Mus musculus: one gene and its partners. The protein of the gene in region 1 purifies or fractionates together with the protein of each later gene. This does not show direct contact. Links are inferred from orthologs where the notes say so. Each region holds a gene or a part of one and is shown on either strand. Other genes may lie near its edges. The genes, in order: Dnaja2, Pld2 and Llgl1.

Region 1 (3,747 bases):
AAATATTCTGTAGTCACCCTCTAAGGAACACCGTTTGGAGAAGCATTTTTAAAGAGACTCACTTTAGTGGATGCATCATGTCCTCGCCTCTTCTTCTGCCATTTCGACTTCTACTCTGATTGCCCATAAAGCCAAACAATCCTCCACCAAAAATATGTGAGAAGATATCATCCATGCCACCGCCTCCGCCGCTGCCTTCCCGTAGGCCTTGTTCTCCATATCTGTCATACAGCTCTCGCTTCTCTGGATTTGACAATACTTCATATGCAAAACTTATTTCTTTAAACTATAAAGTAAAAGTAAAAAAATTGGATTTTTTAGTGTAAGGATGTGAGAAAGACTTCAGAAATTCAGAAGCCACTTAACTTCAATAAAAAGCCTTGAGTTTCAGTTGGTTTCCTTTTGGTCCTCTTCATCACCTACTGCTAAATATCTTAGAATTCTCGTTGTAAAACTATAGTCCTCTGACCGTTATCACCATCACTATTATATATGCATATGAGTGTGGGAGTATGTATGGGGGTCAGAGGACAACTTTCTATCCTTCCATTGTGGATTAAGCTCAGGTAGTCAGGCTTATATGGTAGCAAGACTTGGAACACAGAGCTATCTCAATAGCTATAATTTTTCTTATCTTTGAAGAATATTACAAGCAATAGGTTTTACTAAGGTCATTTTCAAGTAAATTAAAATAACAGCGAAAAATTCACTCTGTAGGCATAAATGGACTTTCCTTTCTGGGAGGGTGATATATTTTAAGTTTCAGTTTAAGAATAAAACTCAATGACTTACTTTGTCTCCAGCATTTGGATTCTTATCAGGGTGGTATTCTTTGGCTAACTTTCGGTATGCCTTCAAAAAAGATTTTGGATAAGAGTTATACACAGCAAACAATTTAAGATATTCACTTTTCTGAGAAGCAATGTTCTAAAGTTACAGCCTTCCAAAAAATGTCACTTATTATTTAACGTTTTCCACTTCAATAGTATTTACTAATAATATACCCAAAGTTACTGAAGAAAAATACAAATAAAACAACAAAGAAGATACTGAAACATTTTTTCTTTCTTTTTTTACAAACTATTATCAAATGTCTTTGATGGCCAGTAGCCAGACCAAGGAGACCACAATAACCAAACAAATTTTAGATTGAGTGACTACGTTTTACAGAAACTCAAGCACTACTACAAATTAAGCATAGGATACTTCTACCAAGTATCTCTCCCCATGCTGGCTGGCTCCTCTGCCTGCCCTCTAACAGGACACCCAGGAGGTCCTAAGTGATGTTTTACTCGCACACGGTCGGCTAACTGGGGTCTTAGGTGGTGGTGAAACTACATACTTTCAATTAAGCGATGTGGTTAAGCACCATGTAAGTCCTCACACAGACTCATGAATTATATAACACAGCCTACCATTTCCGGTAGGGTAACAGGAAGTCTTTTTCTTTGGACTTTACCAGTCCCAGTACTTACGGGACATTCTTATTTTTCTCAGTTTACAAATGCGGATTGGATCCCGACAGCCAGAGAAGATGCTGACTTTATTAATACCCCAAGTCCCGAGATGATTTGGAACTACTACAAAGGACAACAATAAGACGTGTCTTATTTTTAGGGAGTGCACGCTCAGGTGTTTGGCTGGGGCACACGACTCATCCCCGAAGCGGCCACGGGGTATTTAGATCTCCAGCCCACAGAACAATGCTTCCAAACAGACCCACGCCGCTCCAGCTGCCGGGCGAGCGAGGCTGAGGGAGGAGCCTGCTCAGCGCCGGGGGCTGCGGCCCTCAGCCCCACACCGGCGCCGGCGGTCAGCTCCTCCCCGGCCCGGCGGCGCGAGCACCGCGGTCCGACCTGTTTTTCCGGGTGGCCCCGGGCGCCGAGCTGGCGGGCCGCGTCTGCGCAGGGCCGGGCGGGCGGAGGCCCAAGGTCAGCCGAGCCGACTGCGCCCCCGCCGCCGCCGCGCCTCAGCCCGGCTCAGGCCGCCCAGACCGCGCAGGCCCCGCGCCCTCGCCCCGCCCGCCGGCCGGCTCGCTCCAGTACCTTCTTCAGCTCGTTCTCGCTAGCGCCGGGAGGGACGCCCAGGATGTCGTACAGCTTCGTGTCGGCCACGTTCGCCATGGCGGCCTGCCGGGCAGCACTCGCAAGCAGGCGGCGGAGCGGAAGGAGCGCGACCCGGACCACGAGCGGCGGCGGCGCAGGCCGAGGAGACGGCGCGGGGAGGCAGGCGGGGCTGAACTTTGACCCGGCGCAGCGCCATGACGTCGCCACAAGGCCCCGCCTCCGGGGCCGGGCGGGGCGGGGTTGGGCGGTGGGCGCCCGAGAGCGGCTGGTGGGGCCCTTTCCTGTCGCCGCTCCGTGACGCGCGAGCGACCGCGGAGTGGAGGGGAGCGGTGTGCGGCGTTCATAAAGAACTCTCGGTGCGGCTGAGGCCTGAGGGAAAGAAGCCGGCGTGGAATCCTCACGGGGTGGTCCCCCCGGGGCCACGGTGAAAAACAGCACGTGGGTGTGAGTGTGTGAGGTTCCCAAATAGCGAGTTACGCCCGTGATGTGATTTCATCAACACCTTCACTAACTCATTTCATCTCCTTAACTTCCCCCTCAGCACCTCTGCGTAGGGGAAACAATTTCATTCATAAATACTCAGATTTATACCTAGCAGACGAGGTTTTAAAGGCATAGCCATCCTGTCACATCGGAGGAAAGGACAAATCTTTTTTACACATTCCCAGTTGGTTTCGGGGCATCCAGATAAACCAAAGTCACCCTGTTCCACCGGGATCATGTGTTCAAGTGTCTCACTTGACAGCTTTAAAATTAGCTAACGCCAAAGGTTTGGTTGGCATAAGACAGTATGGCAGCGTGCCGGCACTTGGTGGCTGTCAGTCGAGTTTCGTTTTGCTTTAGCTTGAAAGATTTCTGTGCTTTACCACATTCCAGAATGTATAGCTTGCCTTCCAACTGGTTTTCCGATAGTAAAACACTTCTGGTCAGTTGAAAACCTGAACTGGGAAACAATTGCTCATTGGCCATAAGTCTGTCAGTGGAGGTGATACACCTTTCTTGTTATTCTTCTTGACCGAGTTTTGGAGGTCCTTCACTGCCGTGCTAAGACTTCTGAAATTTAACCTGAACGCTCAGAAGAGTCTCATGAGAAGTTAGATGCTCCTTCTGCTATTCAAAATGCCCCTTAACCTGTAGTGTTTTCCTTAATTCATAACCTGGTGAACCTTCCTGTCTTATTTGATGTTCGTTTTCCTGATAAGTATGATTTATGACATGAATGCTGTTCTCACATGTGAGTCAAAATTCTTTAATAGAATATAGCTTATCTATCTGGTTTCCAGGACTTATTTGGAGGTTTCTAGCAGGGGACCACAGCTATTTTATACCCTTTTGCCAAAGATTAGCCTCTCTTCTTGATCAAATACCCAGTTTCAGGAAGGGACATACAAAGAAGAAGAGGGAACACTCACCCACACACCCAGATCAGCCAAAATAACCCTGGGGCAGATGTTGAAGTCAGATCATCCTTCTTCTGACTTTGAATTTTACAAAGACCCCTAATCATTCAAGAGTGTAAGTCCTGAAATTAGATTGTATAAGCTGGGAGCTTGGCTCTGCCTTCTTTTAACAGTAAGCTTGGCTCTGCAATGTATTTTCTGAGGTTACTTCCTCAGTGCAAGATGCTATTTATTTTTAATGGTATTTATGGTCTGGGGATGAGGCTTAGCTGGTAGAATGC
Region 2 (3,647 bases), on another chromosome or scaffold:
GTCCCCCTGGGCCGGTAGTCCCGGGTTCTGTAAGAAAGCAGACTGAGCGATCCGTGTGAAATGAGCCAGTAAGCAGCATCCCTGCATGACCTCTGCATCAGCTCCTGCTTCCAGTTTCCTGCCCTGCTTGAGCTCCAGTCCTGACTTCCTTTAGTGATGAACAGTGATATGGAAGCATAAGCCACATAAACCCTCTCCTCCCCAATTTGCTTTTGGTCATGGTGTTTCATCACAGCAATAGTAACCCTAACTAACACAAGGAGGAAAAGGAAGAAGATGCAGAGGAGGAGCCTTCCAGAGGGAAGGCAGCACTGTTCCTGGCCCATTTCATCCTATCCTCTGTCCCAGTTGCCAGTTCCTGGAGCCTTTGGGGGAAGGGAGCCTCACCTTCAAAAGGCCGGTCCAGCTGCACCCAGTCCTTGGTGATGAGGTTGCTGTAGTCCTTTCCCAGCCAGAAGAATTGGTTATGCGAGAGGTCTGGAGTGGCTGCAGGGTCTGAACCTAGTGTGGGAGTCTGTATGAAGAGCACACCACAGCCAGGCAAGGTGAGGTCATGGGACCAGGCCAAAGAGAAGGCATGTGCACTGCACCAGAGAGTCTGATTCCTCAGCCTCCCTCTTCAACTGCAGTTAGAGTCAGTAAAAATGAAGGGAGAGAGGGAGCTTGCTTTCTTTATTTCGTCCTTTCTTTCTTTCTTTCTCTCTTTCTTTCTTTCTTTCTTTCTTTCTTTCTTTCTTTCTTTCTTTCTTTTTTGTTTTTTGTTTTTGTTTTGTTTTTTGAGATAGGATCCCATGGTGTAGCCCAGGCTGGCCATAAACTTGAAATCCTTCCTGCCTGAGCTTCCTTAGTGCTGGAATTACAGATGTGGACCACCACAGTAGCTTGGAGCCTCTGAAAGGCTGGGTTGGCAGTTCTAGGAAAGGTGTAAATTTGGAGTACCTGGGTTTGTGGGGAGTGGAGGACAGCCCTGGGGCAATTACCTGTAAATGTACAGGTTCAGAGGGGTCACCCAGGTCAGTCAGTCGGTATTGCACGTCATCCCAGCGGCCGAAGGCCAGGTCCAGCCCGCCCAAGAATGCCACCACTTGGTCTACCACCAGGAGCTTCTCGTGATGAGCCCACAGTGTCACAAGGTCTGGGTGTCGCATCACCTAGAGTAGGGTGAAGGAGCACATGGGGGAGGGTTTAAGTGAGAAGATGGAGGATGAGACTTTTCAGGAGAGGAAGGGTTAAAGAGGACGGGAAGTGGCTGTGCTGTAGAAGGGACTCAGGCCTGAACGTCACCTTTATGTTGGGATGCAGCAGCATCAGCGTCCTCTTGCTGTAGCCACTGTTGATGCCCAAGGCCAGCTCCACTTCCTTAAACAGCAGTATGGAAACTCGGACACCTTCTTCCTGGTAGTGAGGGGGAAAATCAATTCCTAGTGGCTCTCCCTGAGTGGCCCTTATCCAACTCCCACGCTTAGGATTCCTGGATGTCCCTCCACCCTACCAGGGTGCTCTCCTACGTGCATCCAGAATGATGCTTACAGCAAACATGAGCTCGCCCACTCAATTCCCCACCTCCCTTTCATAATCCCGCCAGCCGGCTCCCCAACCATTGGCTCATCATCTTAACCACTGTCTATCATTCTTCTCTGTCACCTCCACCTTCCCGACTCACAGCTTTCCAGCCATCTCCCTGTTCACTGTTTTCCCCCTTTGTAACACAGTGTTTAGTCCACAGTGGTATAATACGCAGTAGTAGCCAAAGATAGTCTTCATTCATATCCTAGTCTTCCTGTTTCTATCTCCCAAGTGCTAGGATAACCAGTGGGAGCCACCACACCCATTTTCTTTCTTATTGTCTATCCATTCACCCTCCAACATCCGTGGATCCTTCCTCTTGTCAATATTCATAAATGCCAAGTGTGCGGGGCACACACTAATCTCAGCATCCAGGAGGCAGAGTAGGGCGGATCTCCATGGGTTCGAGGCTAACCTGATCTACACATTGAAGCTATTTAGTGAGACCTTGTCTTAAAACCAAAATGCTCATGAATGCTCGCTGCATGACAGGTGCTGTACTGTTGTACTGGAATGTGTGGTGTTGCTTAGCAAAGACACATAAACACTACACTCCCAGATAGTACAAAAAAGGGAAGGGTCTGAGGAGTGGGCGCCTAGTCTATACTAGTACCCTAAAGAGGGAACCAGGAGGTGATATTTGATAGACACTGAGCCAGAAGGGGTACGTTTCCCAGTCTTGAAGCCTCAGATTCCCAATCTTCTCCTTGGAAGATTCGAGCCGCAGTCCTTCCAATAACGTCCCCCCACAACACACACACACACACACACACACCCACACACACACACCCCTCTCTCCAGAGCCAACCACTCCTCACCGCCTTCCTCTTGAGCATAATGTCCAGTCTCCAGTCGTCGGAATGGGCTGGACGCTTCAGGTAAATTTCAGGACTCAACCTAGAAGCCAGGGCAATGGGTAAGGAGCAAGCTATGCTGAAGACAAACAGCCCCTCCTCCCTTGCCCCCCTGCGCTGTGCTGCTGCCCACTTCCCTTCTTGGGTGGACCTGACCTCACTCACCACCAGTCTGTGATGAAAATCTCCTCTTGAGCTCGCAGGATGGCATCTGCCACAGCAGCAAAGTAACCTGCCCCATTCACAAACCTGGGGGGAGTCCAAGCCAAGGAGGTCAGGGGAGTCAGAAGCCAGAAAGTTCTGGAGAGTGAAGACCGGAGGACAGCCATGGGTCAGAGGTGACAGCAGGGTCAAAGGTCAGGAATGATCAGAGAGGTTAGCTCATTCAAATACATCAGGTGGGATTATTCGGTATGGTGGTATGGTGTGCCAGTGGGAGCAAAATAAACATGACAAGACACACAATACATTAAAGAAACTGACCAATGATTGGGAGGACTAATACACCATATATAAAAGAGCTCCAGAAAACAGGAAGGAAAAGCAAACACAAAGAAAAAATGCAGAATCCAGCTGAAAATGAGCAGCCTGAGAATTGACAGCTCATAGCAGATATTAAGATGGGCAGTCACAGGGTAAGAAGTTCAGTTCTCTCATTAACAAGAAATTAGGGCAGGGTGTGGTACATAGGCCTGTAATTCCAGGCTGGGACCAGAGGATTACTAAGAGTTTGAAACAAGCTTGAGCTACATAGTAAGACTGTCTAAAAAGCAGCAAAAAAGGCTGGGCATAGTAGCACACACCTTTAATTCCAGCATTTGGAAGGCAGAGACAGGGTGGATCTGTGTGAGTTTAAGGCCTGCCAGGTCTATACAGTTATTTCTAGACTGGCCAGGAATACAGAGTGAGACCTTGTCTCTCAAAAATAAAAAATAGCTGGGCAGTGGTGACACATACCTTTAATCCCAGCACTTGGGAGGCAGAGACAGGCAGATTTCTGAGTTCGAGGCCAGTCTGGTCTACAGAGTGAGTTCCAGGACAGCCAGGGATACATAGAAAACCCTGTCTCAAAAAACCAAAAATAGGGCTGGTGAGATGGCTCAGTGGGTAAGAGCACTCAACTGCTCTTCCGAAGGTCCGGAGTTCAAATCCCAGCAACCACCTGGTGGCTTACATCCATCTGTAATGAGATCTGACTCCCTCTTCTGGAGTGTCTGAAGACAGCTA
Region 3 (3,647 bases), on another chromosome or scaffold:
CAGATGACCAGTAAACCCCGACTGTAGCCTATGAGGATCTTGCTGGGGTCTTGCAGATGTCCCTGGAGTGACTCCACAGGGCCCAAGGCCTTTCCACACCGGTAATCATCTGGCACACTGCAGAGAGTGCCCCAGAGAGTCAGGAGAACTTCCCAGAAATGGGAGGGTCCTCCTGCCTGCTGCTCACCTGCGCAGAACCACATCTGGGCTGAGAGTCTGCCCCTCCAGCAGTGCCAGGGTGGCTACATCCAGGAAGAATATGCTACCACTCTCAGTTCCCAGGGCTGCTGTATTGCCAGCTACGAGCAGGACCACAGTGACACGTGTTAGACTGGCAGGGAAACTGCAGGAAAGAGGAAGAGAGAGTAAGGTGAGCCCATCTACCTGCTGGGGAAGGCAGAACAGGTTGAACCCTTTCTATGGGCTCTCTTATGCCTCTCTGCATTCACAGGGCCTGTTCACAGCACAGGCTGACACCCTGGGAAGGCTATGTGCAGTGTAATTAGCCTACTCAATTATCCCCCAGCATGCCAGCAAAGAAAGGGATAAAAATAAGTTCTCCAGGTCCCAAAAGACTCACAGATCACTTACTACCCTGCTTCTCTCAGGCAGAATCAGAGCACTGCCCCAGCCAGGGTCCCCAATACCAGCTTTCCAGATACCTCAGACATCAGGGGCCCAAACAGTGACCAGGCCAGGCCAGGAAAAACTAACCTGTGGGCAAAGTCTATCCCATTGCAGCTATTTCCAGCACACCTGAGGGCAAGGCTCTCCACCTGGGGAGCCCGGCCTGCTATGCACAGCCAGGCATCCAGCCAGCACCTCACCAAGCCTACCCTGGAGAACCCTCCCGACTATCAACCATGGCCCAGCCGATCCCAACTCAAGAAACCAGCAGGAAGGTCAAATATGGGGGTACACACCAGTAACCCTACACTTGGAAGACTGAGGCTGGAGGATCACTAAAAATTCAAGGCCAGCCTGAGACTTTGCTGATATTACCTTGGCATAGAACTGTCCCAAATCCCTAGAGGGTACTGTGCCAGCCTAAAGGTCTAAGGAGTTGGGTATATAACATTCTATTCACTGGGACCCCCAAAACTAAAGGCTCCCACGGTGGGAAACACAGTCTCTGCCCACTGGCCTCAGTCTCAGCTGGCCACACCTCTAACCCTATCTTCAAAGGATACCACTTCAAGAAGGGTTCTATCCAGGCAGGGCTCCTGAAGCAGAGCCCAACTGTGTCTGCACTGCTTCAGCAGAGCAGGCTCATAGGCCCTCTCTAATTCCTCTGCCCAGTGGCTAGTCCCAGCCTGATCCTCCAGTACCTGGCATTGTCAAAACTGGGTCTGCTGGGTGGGTGGAAGCTGAGGCCTTCCTCCAGGTGGGCGCAGCCATTATGATGGATGATCTCCCAGAGATGCAAGCTGCTGTCATCTAGCAGGGTCAGGAGGCGGCCCTGATGGGACGGAGCAGAGACCAAAATGGGGGTAGCCTGAAGGGGAGGAGAGCACGGGGGTGGGACCACCTGGTGCTAGTAAAGGAGGGGAGCTATTCACCTGACCAGGGAGGAAATGCATCTGGGTGACGGTGGCTGCGTCCCGATGTAGGCCTGTAAATTCCACTCCGGGTGCACCATAGCTAAGGTAACTTGTCAAGAACAAACGTGCAGACAAGCTAGGACAGTCAGACAGGCTCTGCCCATCCAGGAGTCCGGCAGTCTCCTGATGACCCCCACTTCCTAAAGCAACTCTGCTCCTGTATCTGAGGTGCCCACAGAACCCACACAGCGCCCCCAGTAGGGTACTGATATAGGTTTTCAAGCCCTCATCTGTACAGCAGGCCAATGACTCAAACCAGAAAGCTGGTGCCAATGGAATAAGACTAATCACCTGCTCAGCACTGTGGCTCCGGCATGGTACACACGAGGCCGCGGATTCACCTGCACGGACCAAGCGCCTTGCAGTAGAGGTTAACGGGCCTAAGCAGAACAGAGCAGTGCCAGATCAAACAACTCTTGACCATGGTCAAGAACCCCAAGCTCCCTTCAGAGCAGGTAGCCAACAGCTTCCACTACTCAGCTTCCAGATGAGCACAGACTAGAAGACGGGAGACCTGTTTGAACAAGTGCCCCGAGACCCAGAAACTCCAGGACTGATGGAGGCCAGCAAAGCTGAAAGGGCCCAAGAGAGCTAAGAGATGGGTCAGTGATGTTGTCCCAGTGACAAGGAAGGAGCAGTTGCCTGGATATTGAGCTGGGACTCCCTGAAGAGGCTGGCAAGGATGACAAAGAGAGGACAGGGGCAGCTGGCAGGAAGCACAGTCTCCTGGGAGATGAGACTGCCCTGCAGGGGGAAGGGAGGCTCTAGAGACCAACTGTGGCACTTTCCAGCCTCAGTTTCCCAACCTCAGGAGTTCATGGCTACAGGAATTGAGAGGAAAAAGGGAAGAGAAGGAGGATCTAGCTTTGGCTTCCTCATGTATACTAAGCACGAGGGCAATACCCACAAGGACAGCTCTAAGCACCTGGCAGTGTAGACCATGGGCAACTCTGATATGGACACCTTTGATGTGGATACCTCTAACCCAGTACAAGGTCACAGCAAGTGGAGTAGCAGCATAGCATCCACGGGTCTTCGAATGGCAAGCAGCACTCATCTTGGTAACTGTCCCACCAAACACCCAGTGGCCCACAACAGAGGGAAGGACATCCCCTCCAGCCACACTCCCTGACAAGGGACATTACCTCATAAACCACGAGCCACATTCCCACCCCAACCTAGTGCTCCAGCTCTTGGTGAGCAGGTGGAGGGGCACCTTTACCAAGCTGCTTCTAGCCAGACTCTGCACCTCAAGTTTTCCTGAAGGCAGGTTAGGGTGCTATTTCCAGAGTAAGGAGACATTCAGCAGCCTGTTGCCCCACCCCCACCCTGGACTACAGGAAAATGCCTGCATTGTACAGCTCACTCAGCCCATTGTATGGCATCGGTGTCCAGATGGGGGCAGTGTTGCGCTCACCATGCTGAGCCTGGCACTGCCCTCCCGCCCTGGGTTGAACACATGGGGTCTTCGTATTTGTGTGTGTGTGTGTGTGTGTGTGTGTGTGTACACATGTACTCTTTCTCTCATCAGGGCTCACAGGCCACCCCTAACTGCCCCAGTCACAGCTGCCAAGATGATGGTAGGATTACCTAAGAATTGGTAGGCTGAAAGGCAGCAAGGGACAGCCATTGTTACTGCAAACCGACCTCCCCTCCAATCACCCATCTCCCAACCAAAAGACCCTCTCATTTCCGAAAGGAGTCATCACAGGCACACAGGCACAGCGACCTCTTCAGAAGCCCCAACAAGCACAGCTGTCTCCATGAAGCACCTGCCATGCTAAGACTCCAGCATGAAGTGAGCAGCACCTCAGAAGCAAAGGATACATCTTGACGGCCCCAGATCTGGTGCCGATGGCCATGATGCGGAGCTCAGGATCGAAGGCCAAGGCGCTGGGCTGATTGGGGAAGCCATGCTCCACAGTCTATGAGGGAAGAAAGGGTTCTATGGGCAAAATACCCTGGGGCTTCTGCTTCTAATTGGCCCAGAAGGTGCTGTCCACCTCCCCACACGGAGAGCCGGAAAACAGGAATCCCAGCACCATC

The links.
Region 2: the proteins of Dnaja2 (region 1) and Pld2 purify together in Homo sapiens (affinity purification with mass spectrometry; 3 studies listed by BioGRID and IntAct, with this or other methods). This does not show direct contact. The link is inferred for Mus musculus from reciprocal best matches to the Homo sapiens genes DNAJA2 and PLD2.
Region 3: the proteins of Dnaja2 (region 1) and Llgl1 purify together in Homo sapiens (co-immunoprecipitation; 3 studies listed by BioGRID and IntAct, with this or other methods). This does not show direct contact. The link is inferred for Mus musculus from reciprocal best matches to the Homo sapiens genes DNAJA2 and LLGL1.

Annotation. Positions count from the first base shown.
Region 1 is NC_000074.6:85,553,125-85,556,871, forward strand, and holds the start of Dnaja2 (dnaJ homolog subfamily A member 2), read right to left. Parts: upstream 2,238-3,747; 5' UTR 2,124-2,237; coding exon 2,046-2,123; intron 853-2,045; coding exon 793-852; intron 287-792; coding exon 63-286; intron 1-62. UniProt on the Homo sapiens protein: Co-chaperone of Hsc70. Stimulates ATP hydrolysis and the folding of unfolded proteins mediated by HSPA1A/B (in vitro).
Region 2 is NC_000077.6:70,550,202-70,553,848, reverse strand, and holds part of Pld2 (phospholipase D2), read right to left. Parts: exon of another isoform or gene 2,721-3,647; coding exon of another isoform or gene 2,670-2,720; coding exon 2,586-2,669; intron 2,464-2,585; coding exon 2,385-2,463; intron 1,396-2,384; coding exon 1,285-1,395; intron 1,152-1,284; coding exon 981-1,151; intron 515-980; coding exon 388-514; intron 1-387.
Region 3 is NC_000077.6:60,702,663-60,706,309, reverse strand, and holds part of Llgl1 (lethal(2) giant larvae protein homolog 1), read right to left. Parts: intron 3,527-3,647; coding exon 3,429-3,526; intron 1,642-3,428; coding exon 1,560-1,641; intron 1,460-1,559; coding exon 1,329-1,459; intron 344-1,328; coding exon 188-343; intron 118-187; coding exon 1-117. UniProt on the Homo sapiens protein: Cortical cytoskeleton protein found in a complex involved in maintaining cell polarity and epithelial integrity. Involved in the regulation of mitotic spindle orientation, proliferation, differentiation and tissue organization of neuroepithelial cells.